Ovis aries: one gene and its partners. The protein of the gene in region 1 interacts with the protein of each later gene in a pairwise test. Links are inferred from orthologs where the notes say so. Each region holds a gene or a part of one and is shown in the gene's direction. Other genes may lie near its edges. The genes, in order: ABHD16A, RETREG3, DTX2 and RNF5.

Region 1 (3,593 bases):
CAGCCCCAGGATATCATCCTCTATGCCTGGTCCATCGGCGGCTTCACTGGTACCCACCTCCTTCCTATCCTGCTACTGTAGGCGCCCTCAGGCCATCTCTGTGTCCCCCCGGGGGAGTAGGGTGGAGGAGAGAATAGATGGGCTCTCTTGAGTGGGTCTGGAAGAAGCTATCATATTTGAGTACACTTCACATTTCCTTCCACCCTTGTGCCCGATGATTAAAAGTAGAACCTGGGGTGGGGAGATCAAGGAGTAAATGTTGCCTCTGGTATTGTCTTCAGTGCGCTTGGTTGTTCTCTTTGGACAGTGCCCTGGCCAAGTGAAGTGAGGGGTTAAGGCGAGACCTGGGGCTAACTTAGTAGGGAGGATGGGGTGGGCCTGTAGGGTCAGGGGGATGAGGGTAGGGGTGGGGGTGGGCAGGAGCCCCTTGGTCCTCACCCTTCCTTTCCTTTCCTGGTACCAGCTACGTGGGCCGCCATGTCCTACCCAGACATTAGTGCCGTGATCCTGGATGCCTCCTTTGATGACCTGGTGCCCTTGGCCTTGAAAGTCATGCCAGACAGCTGGAGTGAGTGCAGCTCCCAGGCCTGCCCTTGAGGGAAGAGGTGGGCTGGACCTGGGAGACGTTCTCACTGGAGATGGTTCCCCTCTGTGTGGGTGGGGAGTAGGCCACCGCGTTGTTGAGAAGCAGGGGGACTCCCCTGTCTGGGAACCTCCATTTTCTCTCTCCACGGACAGTGGGGACCTCTGTGTTGGGCAGGGACTTCGTGTCTGCTGTCCTCTCACGTTTATCTCACGTTAGGGGGCCTGGTGACCAGGACTGTGAGGCAGCATCTCAATCTAAACAATGCAGAGCAGCTGTGCAGGTGAGGGCTGGCCAGTGTCTAGCACCCGATACCCTCCCCACCTCATCCCTTGTAGAGATGCTGCTGGGACCAAAGCGCAAGCATAAGCCACTGCCCCGTGTCCCCGGAGGGACCCTCCCACCACCCCCAACCCCTCCCAGCTTCCCTGGGACCCTGGACCTTCTCATGATCTGGCAGCTAGTAGGTTCATGCCCGGCACAGCAGGGATCTCCTAGCAAAGCCTGAAAAAAAATATAGCCAGTGCTGGGGTGAGGCAGTCAGTTTCACCTGTCCCTGCTCTGAGGTCTCCCTCCCCACTGTGCTGTCCTCTGAAGGTACCAGGGCCCTGTGCTGCTGATCCGCAGAACCAGGGATGAGATCATCACCACCACGTGAGTGCCTGGGAACTTCTACCCTCCTGGATCCCAGAGACAGCCAGGAAGCTGTTCCCTACCCCAAAGAATGCCCGCCAGAAACCCAAGTATCCAGACCCTTCCTCCCCACCCTCCAGTCCCTCCAGTGTCATTCTTCTACCCCCAGGGTTCCTGAGGACATCATGTCTAACCGAGGCAATGACCTCCTGCTGAAACTCCTGCAGCATCGGTGAGAACCAGGGTGTGTGCGCGCACACATACATGTCTGTACTGACGCCAGTGCAGGGAGGGGGGCGGTTCGGGGATGAGGAGTGAAGAGGACTGGGTCCTGACTTCCTGTCCCGGTGCTCCTCCATAGGTATCCCCGGGTGATGGCGGAAGAGGGTCTTCGAGTGGTGAGGCAGTGGCTGGAGGCCTCCTCACAGCTGGAGGAAGGTGAAAGGGGATCTGCTGAGGGCTTTGGTTGGGGGTCTGGAAAGACCAGGATGCTGATGGGCACATGTCTCTCTCTATGACCAGCCTCGATTTACAGCCGGTGGGAGGTGGAGGAGGACTGGTGCCTGTCTGTCCTCCGCTCCTACCAGGCAGAACATGGGCCTGAATTCCCCTGGAGCGTGGGTAAGGAGTGCTGGGGCAGAAGAGGTTGGGAAGAGCCCAGGAAGGGGGTGAATACCCAGATGGGTAGCCCACGTTTGAGCACCTTCTCTCTGCAGGGGAGGACATGAGTGCAGACGGAAGACGGCAGCTGGCTTTGTTTCTGGTGAGCTAAGGCGTGGGAAGCAGGAAGAGGGTGCCTGAATGGCCAGGGGCACAGGTGGGGCTTGGGGACAGGGGTACCCTGTAAGCAATGGAAGGAGCAGCTTCTTTAATGTGGGTAGTTGGTTCAGAAGGTGTCTGTGCTCTGTACCCCACCTGTCCCACCTTCTCCCCTCAGGCTCAGAAGCATCTGAATAACTTCGAAGCCACACACTGCACCCCACTCCCAGCCCAGAACTTCCAGATGCCGTGGCACCTCTAGGGACCACACTGGGACTTATTCTGGAAGAACGGATGGACGGAGACATGAGGAAGGACCCTGTTTGTGATTCTCTGTGTTTATTTTGCTGTTTATAGTTTCTGGCAAGCAGGGGGACCACCCCTACTTCTCACCGTTCCTCTTGCACGTTTCCCCTCATCCATCTGGCAGTACCTAACCTTCCCAACACACACCCTGCATTAAATGAATGAATTATTCCTAATAATTAATAAAAGTATTTTTTCTACCGGCTGGCTAATTTTGTGACTTCCCAGCTATCCAGGAAGCCAGGGTTGGGAGTGGAGAAGAGTTGAAGCTCCAAATGACTGGGCTTTGAGAGACCCCACTTCAGGCAGCCAATTTAACCCTCACCATCTCTGCTGTTGCCCCAGGCAATCAGCCCCCAACCTGAGTTGTCCTTGTCCAGTGGGTCTCCCACTCTCACCTTTCCCTGGCATGCCTAGTACCATCACCACTGTGCAGCGTCCCTGGTGCCTGCCTAGGTCTTCCTACATACAACCACCCCAGGAGACCACGGTTGCCTCCAGTGCTCATAGTTCATGAGCTCTGTTGTTTACAAAGTACTTCCTAGCACCTGACTTACACTTACGCAGCAATTCTACCGATTTCTAGGTCCAGCCTGCATGGTTCCAGCATCAGAACCTCCAGTTTTTCTTGCTTAGTTCTTGCTCTTTCCATGGGGAGTAAGGAATGGCTTGTTCCCCATGTTGGATGCAGCAACCCCTGCACAGCCTCCTCACCATATAGTTGCTCACCTTAAGTCTCTCTCCTCACAACCTCTTTGCAATTCAACAAACACAGGCCCTGCCAGGGACTGAGGACAAGGTGCCAAGAACTCAGATCTTCCCAGAGCCATACTTTGCCTTATTGGACAGCTGTTAGAATATTCTTGGTTTGAACCAGGAAACACTATTGGTTCCCTGTAGTGTTAGTCGCTCAATCATGTCTGACTCTTTGCCACCCCATGGACTGTAGCCCACCAGGCTCCTCTGTCCATGGGGTTCTCCAGGCAAGAATACTGGAGGGGGTTGCCATTTCTTCCATTTTATTTCCATTCCTTGGACGTTGGAACAGAATGAGTCGCTCTCGCACCCATCACTTTGTTGCCTGGCCACCTTCTTCCCTTGGAAACCTCTTTTCCAGATGAAATACCCCTAGGTTTACCACCCTGGGCTCACCATTTTGAACAAGATACTTAAGGTGAGCAACTATATTGTGAGGTTCAGGATACAGCCTAACTTCAGTGTCTCCTCCAACCTCAATGCACAAAGCTCCCCTGCAATCCCAGGGGCAGAGGCTGTCTGCCTCAACCAGCTCAGCGGCTCCTTCAAGGGAAAC
Region 2 (4,319 bases), on another chromosome or scaffold:
CCCTCACTTCCTTGTCTGTAGCTCCCTAACTGGCGCTGTAACATGGTGTCTCCTTTTTATTGGCTGTTACTGTTTTTCCTTTTCTCCAAACCTATTAAAACTTGAGCTATCAGACCAACAGCCTAACATTTTCATGTTTTGTTTTCCCTACCAACTAATGCTGGTGTTTGTTTTAATATTGTAGTGCCAAGACCCGACGCGTTAGACAATGAGAGGTATGGAATGCTAATTAAATCCCTTTTTGTTGCTCTGATTGATTCTCTTGTTGTAATATTCTGGTTACAGGTTGTTAACTCCATGTTTTGGATACACATTAGAAGCTGAGAACCTAGTCTGTTGCAAATAATCATTTTAACAAATCCTAAAGTTCAGGCAGCAGTAGGTTGAGATGCTCAGTGTCCTGTGGTACTTGTAAGAGACATTTCTGAGAAAGCAGCATTAGCGTGCTGACGTACCAAGAAATTATGCAGCCTGTGTAAAAACTTAGAGGCAACTTACCTCATTTGTCTCTGGCTTTTATAAAAACCAGGCCATTTAGTGTTTTCTGTGAACTTTGGCCGTTTAAAGTTCCTGGTCAGAAAACACATTCGTTTCTGGCATCAGCAAGCCAAAGATCCCTCTTGTGGCTTACAGCTCCTGCTTTCATTTTTCAGTTCATTCATGTCATATGTTGGATTGTCTCTGCTGGGTTTGTTTTGGTTTTGTTTTATTTGTTTTCTCTCTAAGGGGCACATCCATTGGCTCCACCTCACCTGCCGCAGTGCTGTCAGACTGTGCTTTACGTTTTCTCCTGGATTGCAATCACAGTGAATTGCAATAGTCTGAGCACAGGAAAGATGCTTTTAAGCACAAAGGGCCTAGGAGCTGGTGGCAGGTTTACACATGTGGATTGGGCTGCTGGCTCAGGGTGGAGGTGTCAGAACAAGTTTGCCCTCCTAGTCCTTAAATTCAAGTTTCAACCTGGAGAGCCAAGAAGAAAGTCGTGCTTCACCTCTAGAGCACCTCGGGCTAGCCACTCCCCAGCCCCTATTTAAACCCGGAACCATCGGCTGCCTTCACAGTGAGATGGGGGGGAACCCTCAGCACCCTCCTTTCACAGCTCCCCCTTCTCTTTCCCATAGCTGGGGTTTTGTGCACCCTCGGTTGCTCAGCGTGCCCGAGCTCTGCCACCACGTAGCTGAAGTCTGGGTTAGTGGGACCATTTTCATAAGGAATCTTTTGCTTTTCAAAAAGCAAAACCCAGGCAAGGTAAGACTCTTCCCTTTTTCACTCTTATTTCTGGCTTCTCAGTTCAGTTCATGCTAAACTGAAACAGCCCTTTTACCTTTTACTACCTATCCTCATTCAAGAACGAAAAGACCATGGTGCTGGTAGAGACAAGGGAAGTCATAGGAAGGGGCTTCTGACCAGCCACTAGGACTAAGGCAAGAACTCGGTGACTCCTTCAGGTGCTTGCCACTTAGATTAGGCCATCTTCCTGCCCCAAGATGGGAAAGAAAGCTTGCTTGTGTGCATTCTGTGTCATATTAAACATGTGGTAAGTGGTTGAGTTTTTTCATTTTATTTTACTTTGCCTTAAAAAAAGCCCACCACCAGCACTTGTTTTCAGAGAGAATTTTTGGCTCAGTCCTATTCAAACCATTTCCCAGCACGAAAGGTGCAGCCCTGTGGGGTTAGCCATGTGAGAAGAGTTTGAATAGAAGTGGACATGCTCCCTTTCCTCCCCAGCAGAATCACCAGCAGCAGCAGTGGCTAGGTACATGTCATTCTGACATGTCCATGCTTTATTCAGAGGTCATAAAAAATCATTTCAATCACATCTCCATCTTACCTGCCCCACATCCCCACCCCATCCCCTGCCATATGGCAGAAACTTAATATTGTTTCCTGACATCCCTAGTTCTGCTTGCTGAGCTGTGGGATACTGACCTTTTTGGCTGTCTTGGGCCGCTACATCCCTGGGCTCCTGCTCTCCTACTTAATTCGTAAGTATGGTATATACCTCCCCCACAAGCTTAACATACTCATAGCTTTTCTAGCTGTAGCTAACTTTGTCTAGAGAGAGAACTTTTATATTTTTGTTCTCCAGGAAATGACCTTTTTCATTTTCATGTCCTGTTTAGAGTCATGAAAATACCTTTCTTCTTACCTGTGTCAAGCTCCCACATATAAATTCCTTTTCTTACCAAGTTTTAGAAACTGACAAGGGTCCACTAACCAGTTATAAAGAAAGGACTGTCTGTCCCTATTTCAGGAGGGAATTTTTAGAGTCAGTGTATTGTGTAACAGTAGGACATAACTCTTAGGATTCTGTTCTAGATTCTGTTTACTCTGTAGGTTACTAGGTTCTGTTTACCTGGAGCACTTCCCCCCCCCCACCCCCACCCCCCCAGAGCAGTTTTGTAAATGTAGTTAACTTCATATTGGCATGAACTCTGTCTACCTGAGGCTGGAAGAACTGAGCAGTGATGACCCTGGTGATTAAATAGCAGAAGCTCGAATGACGTTGTGTGGCTGCCGAGGCGTCGTTAGCATCTGGTCTTGTTGATGCTCGGTGACACCCATATGCAGGTGACAGCACTGATTCTGCCCTTGATGCATCAGCAGCATAGTCCACTGTGCACGGCGCTGTTGGGGCTACAGAAGTCTCTGACCCCAGATCTTCACCTCGTGAAGATGACCTGCAGAATTAGGCAGGACCGTTCCACACTGGGTCCCAGCCCTAAGGACACACGGCAGAGGGACAGTCAGGACTGTATGCAGCCCTTCCTCCATTTCACCACTCTTTCTCACTCCTCTCAGTTGTCACTGTCATGATGTGGCCCCTCGCTGTGTACCACCGGCTGTGGGACCGAGTGTATGTGCGGCTGAAGCCCGCACTGCAGCGGCTGGACTTCAGCGTTCGTGGCTACATGATGTCCAAGCAGAGAGAGAGACAATGTAAGTGTCCAGGGGAACCTCCCGTCCATTTGGGCAGTTTGGGGAGAAGGAGAAGCCCAGAGGTTTGGCATCATAGGTCCTTGAACGTGGAGAAGTGGGATGTGATTGCTGTATAGGGGGGTGGTAGGTAAAAGTGATGATCTACTCTAGGGAAATCTCTGCAGGCTTGCCAGTTTTTCCCTTTGGAATTATAGACACTCCCATTTTAAACAAATATGAGAAAAGTTCTCCCAAGTCATATAAAAGACAGTGAAGATATTCCCAGTGTTAGCTGCTTTTTATGAAGCACGTCCCATGTGCCCAAGCACTGAGCTGGCTGCTTTGCATACGTTGTCTGTACAACACCCTTAAAAAGAGGGTGGTATTTTCCTTTTCTGGTTGAGGAAACTAAAGCTCACGGTTAGTAAAGGGCAGAATAGGTCTTTTAAACTCCTCAGCTGGGCCTCTGTTCACTCCTGAAAGCTGCCTTCCCAAAGCGATTGAAAACTGGCTTCTGAAGCCTGGTGTGTACTAGCCTGAGATCCTCCAACCCACAAGCAACAGGCAAGCGGACTTTTCCCTCTCTTCCGTGGTGCGGTCAGGCTGGGTCTGCATTAAGCCCTGGCCTTCTAAGAGCCCTGCACACGAGCGCCAAGGCCCGGCTCTGCCCGGCGCAGCCAGCTGAACAGCACCACTCCTCAAAGCCTGACTCAGCCAGGTGGGGTGTCTCCCTTCGCCTTCTCTGTGATAGTGTCCACTTTTCACACTGATATCTGATCTTGAGGCTTGTTGACAAGTCTGGTAGTTGACCTCTCCAGAACAAAAAGGGTTTCTTTCCTGTGTTATCATGTTATCAGCTTACCTTGCCACTTAGGCAGCTCCTTCCTCAGACATCGTTCTGTAGGTTTAAGGGGTTCATTCTCTGGTATTCTGACTTTAATGCCTTTGAAATTCAAAGGGGGCGGGAGTTTGCCCTCAAGGGAAGGTGTTCATGGCTTCTGCTCTTCCTACACAGTGCGTCGCAGAGCTCTCCACCCAGAGCGTGCTGCAGACAACCACAGTGACAGCGAGGAGGAGCTTGCAGCCTTCTGTCCTCAGGTATCTGGGGTGTGGGAGCTGCCTCACTGGCCAGTCTTTTTAGCTCCTTTTTTACCATCTGGTACTCCTGTTTAGACAGTAAACAGGTTTCCAGGCTCACTGTGGGCTCTCTAAGGACCCAGCTTCTTGCCTTTCTCCAAGGACCTTCCTGCTCCCAAGTGCAGTGAGGAGAGAAGCTAGTATTATATTGGGACTTTGTATGTAGATCTCAGTTTGAGTCTGGTGACGAGCACACCCTCTTCCACGTCTCCTTTTAACCCCTGCCATCAGGGCAGAACTTCTGCAACTGACATGATCTCTCT
Region 3 (4,954 bases), on another chromosome or scaffold:
CAGGCATCTAGTAGAAATCGCAGGTAAATCGTTACCCTTCATTCCTCTATGGAGAGCTGGCTGTGTGCATAACTGGCTCATTCCCAGGCTCAAGACTGGTGCCCTCTAAGTCAGCTCCTGGGTGATAAGTCAGCTCTGGGTCCTGGCCTAGAGTACCAGAAACTAGGCCTGCTGCAGGCACTCTTTCTCTTCCTTCACTAGCTTTTGATTAGATTATGTAAAGATATTCAATTAGAGTCCAAGATTTAGAGGACTCTGAACCCCCTGGAACTGTATGTAAAAATATCTGTGTGTATACGTATGAATACATCTGAGCATTTTTCTGGGAACAACTTTCTTTAGGAAGTAAAGGAAGTCTGTGATCCAAAAGATTAGTCATTAGCCTGGTTTAAGCCTCATCACTTTTGACCTGGACTATAGCCTAAGCCTCCAAACTGGTCTCCCCACTCCTTTCTCAATCCTCCACCCACCACAAGGGTACACTTCTAAAGTGCAATGCTGCTTCTCTTTCCCCTGCTTAAATCCTTCCATTGACTCCAGTGGACTAAATTTCTTGCGTGATATTTAGTGTCCTTCATAATCTCACCCAGCCATTTCCCCATATCCTGCCACACCCTAATCCATTTTCTCTGTCCTCACCCCGTCCATGTACCTATTCTCTGCCTTAGCTACACAGAACATTTCATTGCTTTCTGAATGCATCAGGCACTTTCTCATCTCTCATCCTTTGCAAAAGTTTCCCTGTACTCCATTTGACAAACCCATACTCAGGCTTCAAAATCCAATTCTAGTGTAACCTCCTTTGCAATGTCTTCCTGACATCCCCTCTTCCTGCAATTAGGCACCCCTTCTATGCTCTTACTCCTTTATCACATTTATCGCACTAGATTGCAGTTGCGTGTTTAAGTGTTTGTCACCCAAGTAGGTACAAAGCCCTTTTTTTTCTTGGAAGAAAACCTACGACCAACCTAGGCAGCATATTAAAAAGGAAAGACATTACTTTGCCGACAAAGTCGGTCTAGTCAAAGCTATGGTTTTTCCAGTAGTCACGTATGGATGTGAGAATTGGACTATAAACAAAGCTGAGCGCTGAAGAATTGATGCTTTTGAACTGTGGTGTTGGAGACGACTCTTGAGAGTCCCTTGGGCAGCAAGGAGATCAAACTAGTCAATCCTAAAGGAAATCAGTCCTGAATATTCATTGGAGGGACTGATGCTGAAGCTGAAGCTTCAATACTTTGGCCACCTGATGCGAAGAGCTGACTCATTGAAAAGACCCAGATGCTGGGAAAGATTGAAGGCGGGAGGAGAAGGGGGACAGAGGATGAGATGGTTGGATGACATCACTGACTCAATGAACATGAGTCTGAGTAAACTCCGGGAGTTGGTGATGGACAGGGAAGCCTGGCGTGCTGCAGTCCATGGGATCACCAAGAGTCGGACACGACTGAGCAACTGAGCTGAACTGAACAGGTGCACATTGGGCTCGGCCCCGCCCCTGCTGCCCCGCCGGAACTACGTTTCCCAGAAGGCCCAGCGTCTTGGGCATGCGTACTGGAACCCGAGGAAGCTGCGACGCCGAGTTTCACTCAGGCTGCCTCCTCGTTAGAGTGGGAGCTACGGCCGGAGCAGTGCCCAGGCCGAAGTGGAGCTTCAGTCTGAGCGCGGCGGTGTCCTCCAGCCGCCTGCCTCGCTCTCTTCAGTCTCGGTGAGAGGGGCGGCCCGGGCCACCTGCTCGTCGCCTAGGGCTGGGGTCCCGGGGACGCGGGGGAGACCGAGCCGAGCTGGGGCCGGAAGGGGGCGGGCGTGGGCGTGAGGGACGGTTGGGCCGGGCTGGAGAGGCGCTCCGGGCTGAGGTCCCAGGGGGCTTGCGGGGACCGGCCTCCGGGTGGAGGTCCCCGAGGGCGGGAGTTGAGGGGATTGAGAGACGCTCGCAGAGCTTTAGGACCGGTCGGGGTGGGGAGCGGGAACGCCGAAGGGCTGGCGAGGGGAGCGGCGCAGACCCTGAGAGTTTGGCCCGTCGGGAGGAGAGTACCCTTTCCCACAGGATCCGGGAGGCGGCGGCGGGGCCACCGGGCTGCCCTAGTGAGGGTGTGGGTCCTGCTGGGATCTGCTTCCCGGTGGGCGGCTCGCTGGAGCCGGGGGCTGTACTTCTGAGGAGTTCGCTTAACTAACTCCGCTTTCTTCTTCTCAAGTGCGGTCCGCCTTCCAGGAAGTGCCTCTTTTGTGGGAGCCTGGCTCACTTTTGCGGGGTGCCAGTAGCTTACGTTGTGAAGAGGACTTAGACTTCCCTCCCCCTTTGCCCCCGAAACTACCCTTTCTCAAGTCAGCTACTGTCCTCCACACTGGTTCCTCTTCCCTCCCTAAGTGCCAGTAGCAGTGGAAATAGTGTGTGCATAGACGCTTGGTCGCTTAAGAAACTCAAAATATTTCTGCATGCCATGTAGCTCGTCTAGAGTTGTAGAAGGTGGTCTTTCTGGTAATCAGGCTTTACTTAAACCATCAGGGTAACTATAGCTAGGCTTCTTGTTCATTTACTGTGTGACCTTGGCAAACTTTTATGTTCTGTAGTTGATTTCTTGGAGGCTCACAAAGCAAACTGGCTCACAAAATCCTTTCAGGCCTTTCTATGGAAGGGCTTTTTTTTTTTTTCCTTCCCCTAACTAGCCCCTTGATTATTGAGTGGGCAGAGGGAGACTACTGTACCTTCTGCTGTGCCCAGGCTGTTGGAAAATAAATCTGGTGGTTTCCAGTCCCCAGCCACAGCACACAGACCCAACATCTGTGCATTCGTTTTCACTAACTGCTGTTTCCCAATTTAAAACTCGATCGTCTTCTTCCTTGTTGGCAAAGGTGCCTTGGAATTTGTGTCGCTGAGTCAGCAAGCCTTTCAGATTTGCCCAGTTTTTGTTGTTTGCGTTTTCTATCAAGATGGGAATCCACACAAGTCATTCCTCCTAAGGATCTGGTATCTTCATCAAGAAGGCACGGTTTGTGCCAGCTTTCCACAGAGAAAAGGTGAGAGCCACGGGGACTTCACGTCGCTGCCTGTCCAATCTGGTTTTCAGTAGAGAAAGTGTGGACTGGGGAGGGGGAAATTTGAGGTCCCCAAGATGAAAGTGAGCCCTGGGAGTGGATTGTTGATTGCCTCTTGTCTCAGATAAATTCAGGTGGCTTCTTGCCAACAGCTTCTCCTGTTTAACCAGTCTTAGAAGCTACTTTCTGTTTTCACACATGCATTATGAGATGAAGGACACGAGTCAGGATTTCTGCATTGGAAATTTTAATTTCCTTGGTCACTTGAGCCTTTACTGGGTGCTTCCTTTTTGTCAGGCCCCCTGCTCGGTGCTGAGGGTGCAGTGACCAGCCACAAAAACTCTGTCTTCCAGGAGCTCATTGTTTGGTGGGAAAGATAAAGAAACCATAGACAGCGACAAGGTGTTGTTGGTGTGATACATATGGAGGAGTGGGTAATCACAGGGCAGAGCCCCCCCCATCCCACCCCTACCCTTGCGCAGGAGGGAAGGTCCAGAAGGCTTCAAGAACGTGAGAGCCAAAGTGAATTGTGAAGGAGTAGGACCCAGGAAGTAGGGGACGAAGCCAGGCAGAGGAGTCAGTAAATGCAAAGTTGTGAAGAGACCCGGCATGTCTGGGTCATTGTAAGTGTGACTCCAGTGTGGCTGGGGCAACGGGATGGCTACATGGCCTAGAAGCCTGGAAAGGTGGGCAGAAGGTTGAGTGTGGGGGCTTTTGCCTGTCATGCCAAGACTTGGGGGATTTTAGCAGGAGAATTCCAGGAAGGGCCTTGCTAAATGAGCACCCTGGCTAGAAAGCATGGAATGGATTGGATTGGATCGTTCTCCTTGTGACTGTTTCCTTACATCACCCCAGCTTCTAGTAGAGGGAGGTAGACAGGGAAGTTTGTGCTCTGGCTGTTCCTGGGCTTGTCAGAGAGAGAGAACGGCCGGAGAGAACTGTGGACGACAGATGCAATGCTGTAGAAGTTGATGAGAGGGGATTTTCTCACAAGAGGGCACAGCACGGCATCCTGGAGGTGTTTAACTGGGTGGCCAAGTGGGTAGGGTGCCGGGTAAAGTTGAAGCAGAGTTGGGGAAACTGGATGTATATGGGGTAGTGGGTCGTTACTTAAACTTTCTGGAAGGAGCTGGGGAGGGGGAAGTGTAGATGGAAGAGGGGGTACTGGAGGGAGGTGTGCCAGCAGATAGTGTTGACAGTGAGGGACTGGGCTGATGGACTTTCCCCGTGAGCCACGGAATGTGAACGTTGTTTCTAGACCTTGAAGGGAGGTGTGGAAGAGAGGGGCAGGACTGTACTTCAGGAAGCTCCGCCTCGCCCCTGTCTCTGAGGTGGTTGAGAAGGAGAGACAAGTGTGAGAAGCCAGATGAGAGCGAGTGCTCATCAAGGTGAGAGGCTGACAGGTCCGAGCCAAGTGCTCACAGTGCGGGCTGAGGAGGCAAGAGCAAGCCAGGGCAGCTGCTGGGCTGTGGGGAGAAGCTGGAGGAGGGGCAGCCCAGAGCCAAGGAATCCGGGAGGAAAGAGAGAGAAGCAAGGAAGGTGAGTTTGGCTTCAGACATATTGGAGGTACCTAAGAGACAGCAGGAATGGAGCCACGGATGAAGCGTCTCTCATTCATTCCACGTGTGCCCAGGAAGTTGTGTGCCAGGGTTTGTGCTCAGCACCCGGAGATGAATTAAACAGTCACCTCTGTGGGTTTGTTTTAATATTCACCTCAGATAAACAGAGAACTGGATTGCTCCACACTGATCACCCATTCACACATGGCCTACTTTTATTTATTTCCTAAGTTTCTTTTTAATGAGTGTTGTAAGTTCCTGCATTTCATCCATCCACAACAAAAGCTGGGATCTTGAGACAGAATACATATCCAGTGTTTGATCTTTCTTCCCATTCCCATCCTGAGATATCCATTATC
Region 4 (5,102 bases), about 410 kb from region 1:
CTATCCCCCGCCACCCCTCCCCACGCCCGCTGATTTCCGGGGCTGGCCAGGAAGTAGGGGGCGGTGATGGGCGCCCTGTTTTGCCAATCGCCTCCCCACATCGTTCAGTTTTTGCCTAGCTCCGCCCCACGAGGGCTCAGCTGGTCTTTGCTTAGGTCTCTCTGGCCTTCTCTGATTCCAGCTGCATCTTTTTTCCTCCAACTTCCTTTCGGCACACATGGCTTGTGTGTCCCTTGCTGGTGTATTCCTTCTCATTCTCCATCAGTTCTCCTCATATTGTCAATTGGCTTCTTTTTTTTCTCAACTCCCACATCTGCTGCTTATTCCATCCAACTCCAACCCTTTTCCAGCTCCCTCCTCCTGTTCCCCATTCAAATTCAAATATTTATCAAGCACCTACTATATGCCAAGCACTGGGTTCTTCACGTCTCTTCTTTTTCTCTCCAGGGCTCGATGGAGACGAGATGTCACCCCACCTCACCTTCCAACCCTCATCTGATCTCTGCCCTTTGTCCCTGCCACTATCTCCTAGCAGTCCAGCTCCCTCCTCCACTGCCCGCCCCCCATCCTGGTCTTTGGGGAGAAGGGACACTCTCAGGCCCTTGTCCCTGTAGGCTGTACCTTACTTTCTTCCTTCGTATAGTCTCCTTACTCACCCACGCTGAGACTACCCGTCTCTGCAATATAGAAAAGATGTATGCTTTTTTCCCAATGGAAATTGGACATTAGGCTTAATTTCTTGAAAAAGTGAGGAAGAATGCTGTTTCCTCTGGGATGAGCATGCCTCCTTAATTTTGTAGTCATGTACCTAGCTCTCTCTCCACCATACTCCCATCATCCCCTTGTCAGGATCATCCCATCACTCTCCACTCCTATTGGGTCTCCTCTTCTCCCTCTCAATGACCTTTTCCCTAAACCTCTACACGTCGCCTGAACCTTAACCTCCTCTGCCATAGGCGACTCCTAATTTCTCATCTTTCCTCACTTGAGTCACGTGGGGCCTTTTTATCAGGATGTTGTTGAAGAACCCTCAGCTTGTGTCTGGCCTCCAGCCCCCAGTCACCTTTGCCCTGAAAAGGATGTAAAGAACACCGGTAACTCCAGGACTGTTACCTAGTTCTGCTCCTTGGGCTTCAGTGAGGGCCACTGACTGTAGAAGAGGCCCAAACTTGTGCGAAAGGCCCACGCTCTGAAGCAGCCTGCCTAAGTCCCAGGGGTCCAGCCCAGGAGGAAGACCCCAGTTCTGCCGGGCACAGGAGAAAGAAGGGGCGGGTCGCCTAAAAGGGGGCGGGCCTTGCCTCTTGCACCCACTCACAAAGGGAGGGGGGCTAGGCCTTTTCTGCTTTTAAGATTTAAAACGGAGTCGAGGTCAACTCGTTCTACTATGTGCCACGTTAAAAAGGGGATGGGTCTTCAGTTCAGTTCTGCTCTGTAAATCACCTAAAGAGGGGCGGGCTGAGTCGTCCAGCCGAGGGAGATGGGTTAACACCAGCGCTGCAGATCGACGTTCGCACCATCCAAACGTCGGGCTAATCCTAGTCCTGCTCCCTTCTTCACTAAGAGGGAGGGGCGGACCCAAGTTCTGCTCTCTACGTCACCGAAGGAGGCCGAAGCCATTTTGAACCCTGCGACCCTAGTATTTGTCCTCTTTTCCGAGCTCGTCGCCGTCTTTCCCGATCTCGGCCAATCAGGAGCGAAAAAAGGGGTCCAATCAGTCGAGAGAGACCTCAGTCGGAGGACCCGGATGAGGACGAGCCGAGGCCTTTGAACCCCAAACCCCGCCAATTGTGGAGCAGTCACCATGGCGACAGTATAGAGGTGAAGGGGTGGGACCAGAGAAGGCTCAATCCTCATAGGATTGGCCCACCCCGTCCCTGCCTGATGCGCTCGCGCACTTTACCTAGCTACCATTTTCTGTCGAGGTGTAGCCAATCAGTTGCTTCGGAGCCAAACGCTCCAAAGTCCAATAGGAATCTGGATATTCTCTGAAAGAGGAAGTAAAAGAAAGACTGGGTCTTGTAGTGGGCGAGGTCTAAGCAGTCTTGAGCCAATTGCTTCTGGCCTTTGGTTATGACTGGCAGTTACTCAGACGAATAAAGCCCGCCCTAGCTGGGTGACAGGACGTATGGAGTTGTTACCAATCCCGTGGCATTGCCGACTAACTGTGACTGTGTCAGCCAATAGTCATTGTACAAGGGCGGAGCCACGTGATCATCTTTCCGCCCCCGCCTTTTGGACCAATCCTTCCTTCCGATTCTGTATGATTGGCAGGCACTCAGGCCAATAGTGATTAGAAAACTTTGAAGCCTGCCCAAAGACCGTGGGCCGGAGGAGGTTTCTCGTTTCTCGGGGCGTCTGTATGTGTGTTTCGGGGGACTAAGGGGTACGCGGGGGACGAAAGAGTACCGGCCATGGCAGCAGCGGAGGAGGAGGACGGGGGCCCCGAAGGGCCAAACCGCGAGCGGGGCGGGGCGGGCGCGACCTTCGAATGTAATATATGTTTGGAGACTGCTCGGGAAGCTGTGGTCAGTGTGTGTGGCCACCTGTACTGGTGAGAATCTGAGAGGGGCAAAAATAACTGGGGCTCACATCTATACTGGGGAGGTTGGGGTGGGGGTGCCACAGTCATACGGGCAACCAGAGGGCACATTTTCATAGGTGAGGCCTGAGGGGGCTTCTTGCGTCTTTTTGGGTATGTGTGGGTGAGAGGGTCACGTCTGTATAGAGGAGACCCGTGGAAAGTCGTAGGAACTAGGCTCCAACTAGTATGTTAAGAAATGGGGCGCAGGAGGTGGGTACCGCACATCTGTGCAGGTGAGACCCGAGCCACCTTAACCTCTGGAAATTGAGGGGTCTTACTTAGCTGTACATTGGAGGAGGAAATGGCAACCGACTCCGGTATTCTTGCCTGGAGAATCCATCCCAGGGACAGGGGAGCCTAGTGGGCTGCCATCTATGGGGTCGCACAGAGTCGGACACGACTGAAGCGACGCAGCAGCAGCAGCTGTACAGTTGGGAACGGATTAGACTGCAAGGTTAGGGGAGATCTAGAGAACGAGGGATCACATTCAGGTGAGCTGTGTCAAGGGGTGGTATGAGAAACCTCCGGACAAGAGCACGGTGGAGTAGCAGCCCCCAAAGATTAAGGAATTGTGGAAGTAAGGTCTTTATTGAGCATAGGAGATAGGAAAAGGAGTAATGGGAGAAGGTAGGTGCTGGTAAAGGGGGTTTGGTTGGGGAGTGATGGCGGCAAGAATGAGAGGAGGGCTGAAAGGAGCCTGCAAAGGGGTGGTTGAAGAAAACTGGAAATTAAATTGAAAAGCAGAGAAGGAAGGGGTGAGGATTTGTATATGTATGGGGTGTGGGGATTGCGGTAGGGAAGAGGAGAGAGGTGAGGGTTGAGCCTGTTGAGAATAGATGTAGCTTTGGAAGGTTAGAGAAGCAGGATGGCCAAATTGGCTGGCATGGTAGGAGTTGTGGAAAATATGAAAAGAAACAGCAGGTAATACCTGGTAACAGCGAGGTGGGACTCTGAGGTTGGGTAGGTATCTCTTTTGTGTTTGGTTTCAACTGGTTTGACCTTTGTTTTCCCCCTTGCAGTTGGCCCTGTCTTCATCAGGTGCGTACTCAGAGGAGATGAAGAGGGAAATGGGGAGGTCTGAGGAGCTGGAAGAACCCTTCTGTGTACTGGAAACCACATTTTTTTCCCCCAGTGGTTGGAGACACGGCCAGAGAGGCAAGAGTGCCCAGTGTGCAAAGCTGGGATCAGCAGAGAAAACGTTGTCCCTCTCTATGGGCGAGGGAGCCAGAAGCCCCAGGATCCCAGGTAAGAGAGGGGAGGTGGTACTGAAAGAAAGTGGACACTTCTTTCTGGGGAGTGGGGTGTAGAAGAGGAGGGAATATTGATAGTCCCTCTCCTCTTCCTCAGATTGAAAACCCCACCCCGCCCACAGGGCCAGCGACCCGCTCCAGAGAGCAGAGGGGTGAGTCTTGTCTGATTTGTGTTCCTTCCTTGCCAAAGACTCGCCCAGTTTCCCACTGACCTTCTCCGCCTCCCTAGGGATTCCAGCCATTTGGTGATACTGGGGGCTTTCACTTCTCATTTGGTGTCGGTGCTTTTCCCTTTGGCTTTTTCACCACCGTCTTCAATACCCATGAACCGTTCCGTCGGGGTACAGGTAAGAGTCTGCCCTCAACTGCTACCAGCAAGTCCTCTGAATCCCCTGGCCTATGAGTGGATGCTTCTTTCACAGCTCTCTTCTCTCCCACAGGTGTGGATCTGGGACAGGGTCACCCGGCCTCCAGCTGGCAGGACTCCCTCTTCCTGTTTCTCGCCATCTTCTTCTTTTTCTGGCTGCTCAGTATTTGAGCCATGTCTCCTTCCTGCCCACCACCAGCCAGAGGAGAATCAGTATTGGGGGTCCCTGCTGACCCTTCCTTACTCCTGGACCCTCCCCACCCAAGCCCTTCATTTCTGTTGGCTAAGGCCAACCCTGGCCACTTTCCACAAGGATGTGTGGAGAAGGAGTGACATCTGTGCATAGGATAGGAGAACCTGTGCTCTGGACTGCTCCCTCAGTAGCGTCATAACTCCCAGCTCTGGGAGAGGAGGATGGACTAAAGACAGTGTCTGTCTCTCGTCTCTCCCGATCCTTTGCTTTCCACCATATTTCTTGATTTGATGTTGAAAGGTGGGCAAGGCTCCCTCTGACTCTTCTCCCATGTTCCCCTTGATTTAATTTAATTTTTCTCTCCCCAGTGTCTAATGTGGGTCCTGACTCTCAAGTGCTTCCCTCCCCTCACTACCTCCTTTATGATAAATTCAATAAACATGATGAGATGTATTCACTCTGCCTACGTTTGTCCGTCCCTCCTTCCTTTCAAGACAGGAGCATCTTCTCCCCAACTTGAGCAGATATTGGTGTGGTGTGGGGAAGCATGGGGGAGAGGGCATCACACAACACACACAGCAAATGTGGCAGGTGTTTACTCATCACTTTCTGTGGGAGGCTCTGGTTGTGGAAGAAAGCTGGCGGGAGGTGGGCTGAAGATTATACAGAGGAGAACTGGGCTGGGGCCGGAACAGACTGGGAAAAGAAAAG

The links.
Region 2: the proteins of ABHD16A (region 1) and RETREG3 interact in binary tests that used the Homo sapiens proteins (3 or more experiments, as listed by UniProt). The link is inferred for Ovis aries from reciprocal best matches to the Homo sapiens genes ABHD16A and RETREG3.
Region 3: the proteins of ABHD16A (region 1) and DTX2 interact in binary tests that used the Homo sapiens proteins (3 or more experiments, as listed by UniProt). The two-hybrid records come from large-scale screens. The link is inferred for Ovis aries from reciprocal best matches to the Homo sapiens genes ABHD16A and DTX2.
Region 4: the proteins of ABHD16A (region 1) and RNF5 interact in binary tests that used the Homo sapiens proteins (3 or more experiments, as listed by UniProt). The link is inferred for Ovis aries from reciprocal best matches to the Homo sapiens genes ABHD16A and RNF5.

Annotation. Positions count from the first base shown.
Region 1 is NC_056073.1:26,698,021-26,701,613, forward strand, and holds the end of ABHD16A (phosphatidylserine lipase ABHD16A), read left to right. Parts: coding exon 1-49; exon of another isoform or gene 50-463; coding exon 464-568; exon of another isoform or gene 569-802; coding exon 803-866; exon of another isoform or gene 867-1,087; intron 1,088-1,180; coding exon 1,181-1,237; intron 1,238-1,385; coding exon 1,386-1,448; intron 1,449-1,480; exon of another isoform or gene 1,481-1,577; coding exon 1,578-1,654; intron 1,655-1,738; coding exon 1,739-1,837; intron 1,838-1,932; coding exon 1,933-1,979; intron 1,980-2,153; coding exon 2,154-2,237; 3' UTR 2,238-2,481; downstream 2,482-3,593. UniProt on the Homo sapiens protein: Phosphatidylserine (PS) lipase that mediates the hydrolysis of phosphatidylserine to generate lysophosphatidylserine (LPS). LPS constitutes a class of signaling lipids that regulates immunological and neurological processes.
Region 2 is NC_056064.1:42,393,931-42,398,249, reverse strand, and holds part of RETREG3 (reticulophagy regulator 3), read left to right. Parts: intron 1-184; coding exon 185-215; intron 216-1,121; coding exon 1,122-1,248; exon of another isoform or gene 1,249-1,537; intron 1,538-1,900; coding exon 1,901-1,985; intron 1,986-2,802; coding exon 2,803-2,940; intron 2,941-3,934; coding exon 3,935-4,017; intron 4,018-4,319. UniProt on the Homo sapiens protein: Endoplasmic reticulum (ER)-anchored autophagy regulator which exists in an inactive state under basal conditions but is activated following cellular stress.
Region 3 is NC_056077.1:34,902,073-34,907,026, forward strand, and holds the start of DTX2 (probable E3 ubiquitin-protein ligase DTX2), read left to right. Parts: upstream 1-1,580; 5' UTR 1,581-1,708; intron 1,709-1,812; exon of another isoform or gene 1,813-3,018; intron 3,019-4,954. UniProt on the Homo sapiens protein: Regulator of Notch signaling, a signaling pathway involved in cell-cell communications that regulates a broad spectrum of cell-fate determinations.
Region 4 is NC_056073.1:26,283,894-26,288,995, reverse strand, and holds RNF5 (E3 ubiquitin-protein ligase RNF5), read left to right. Parts: upstream 1-2,302; 5' UTR 2,303-2,411; coding exon 2,412-2,551; intron 2,552-3,600; coding exon 3,601-3,619; intron 3,620-3,713; coding exon 3,714-3,826; intron 3,827-3,928; coding exon 3,929-3,983; intron 3,984-4,060; coding exon 4,061-4,178; intron 4,179-4,271; coding exon 4,272-4,369; 3' UTR 4,370-4,853; downstream 4,854-5,102. UniProt on the Homo sapiens protein: Membrane-bound E3 ubiquitin-protein ligase that mediates ubiquitination of target proteins. May function together with E2 ubiquitin-conjugating enzymes UBE2D1/UBCH5A and UBE2D2/UBC4.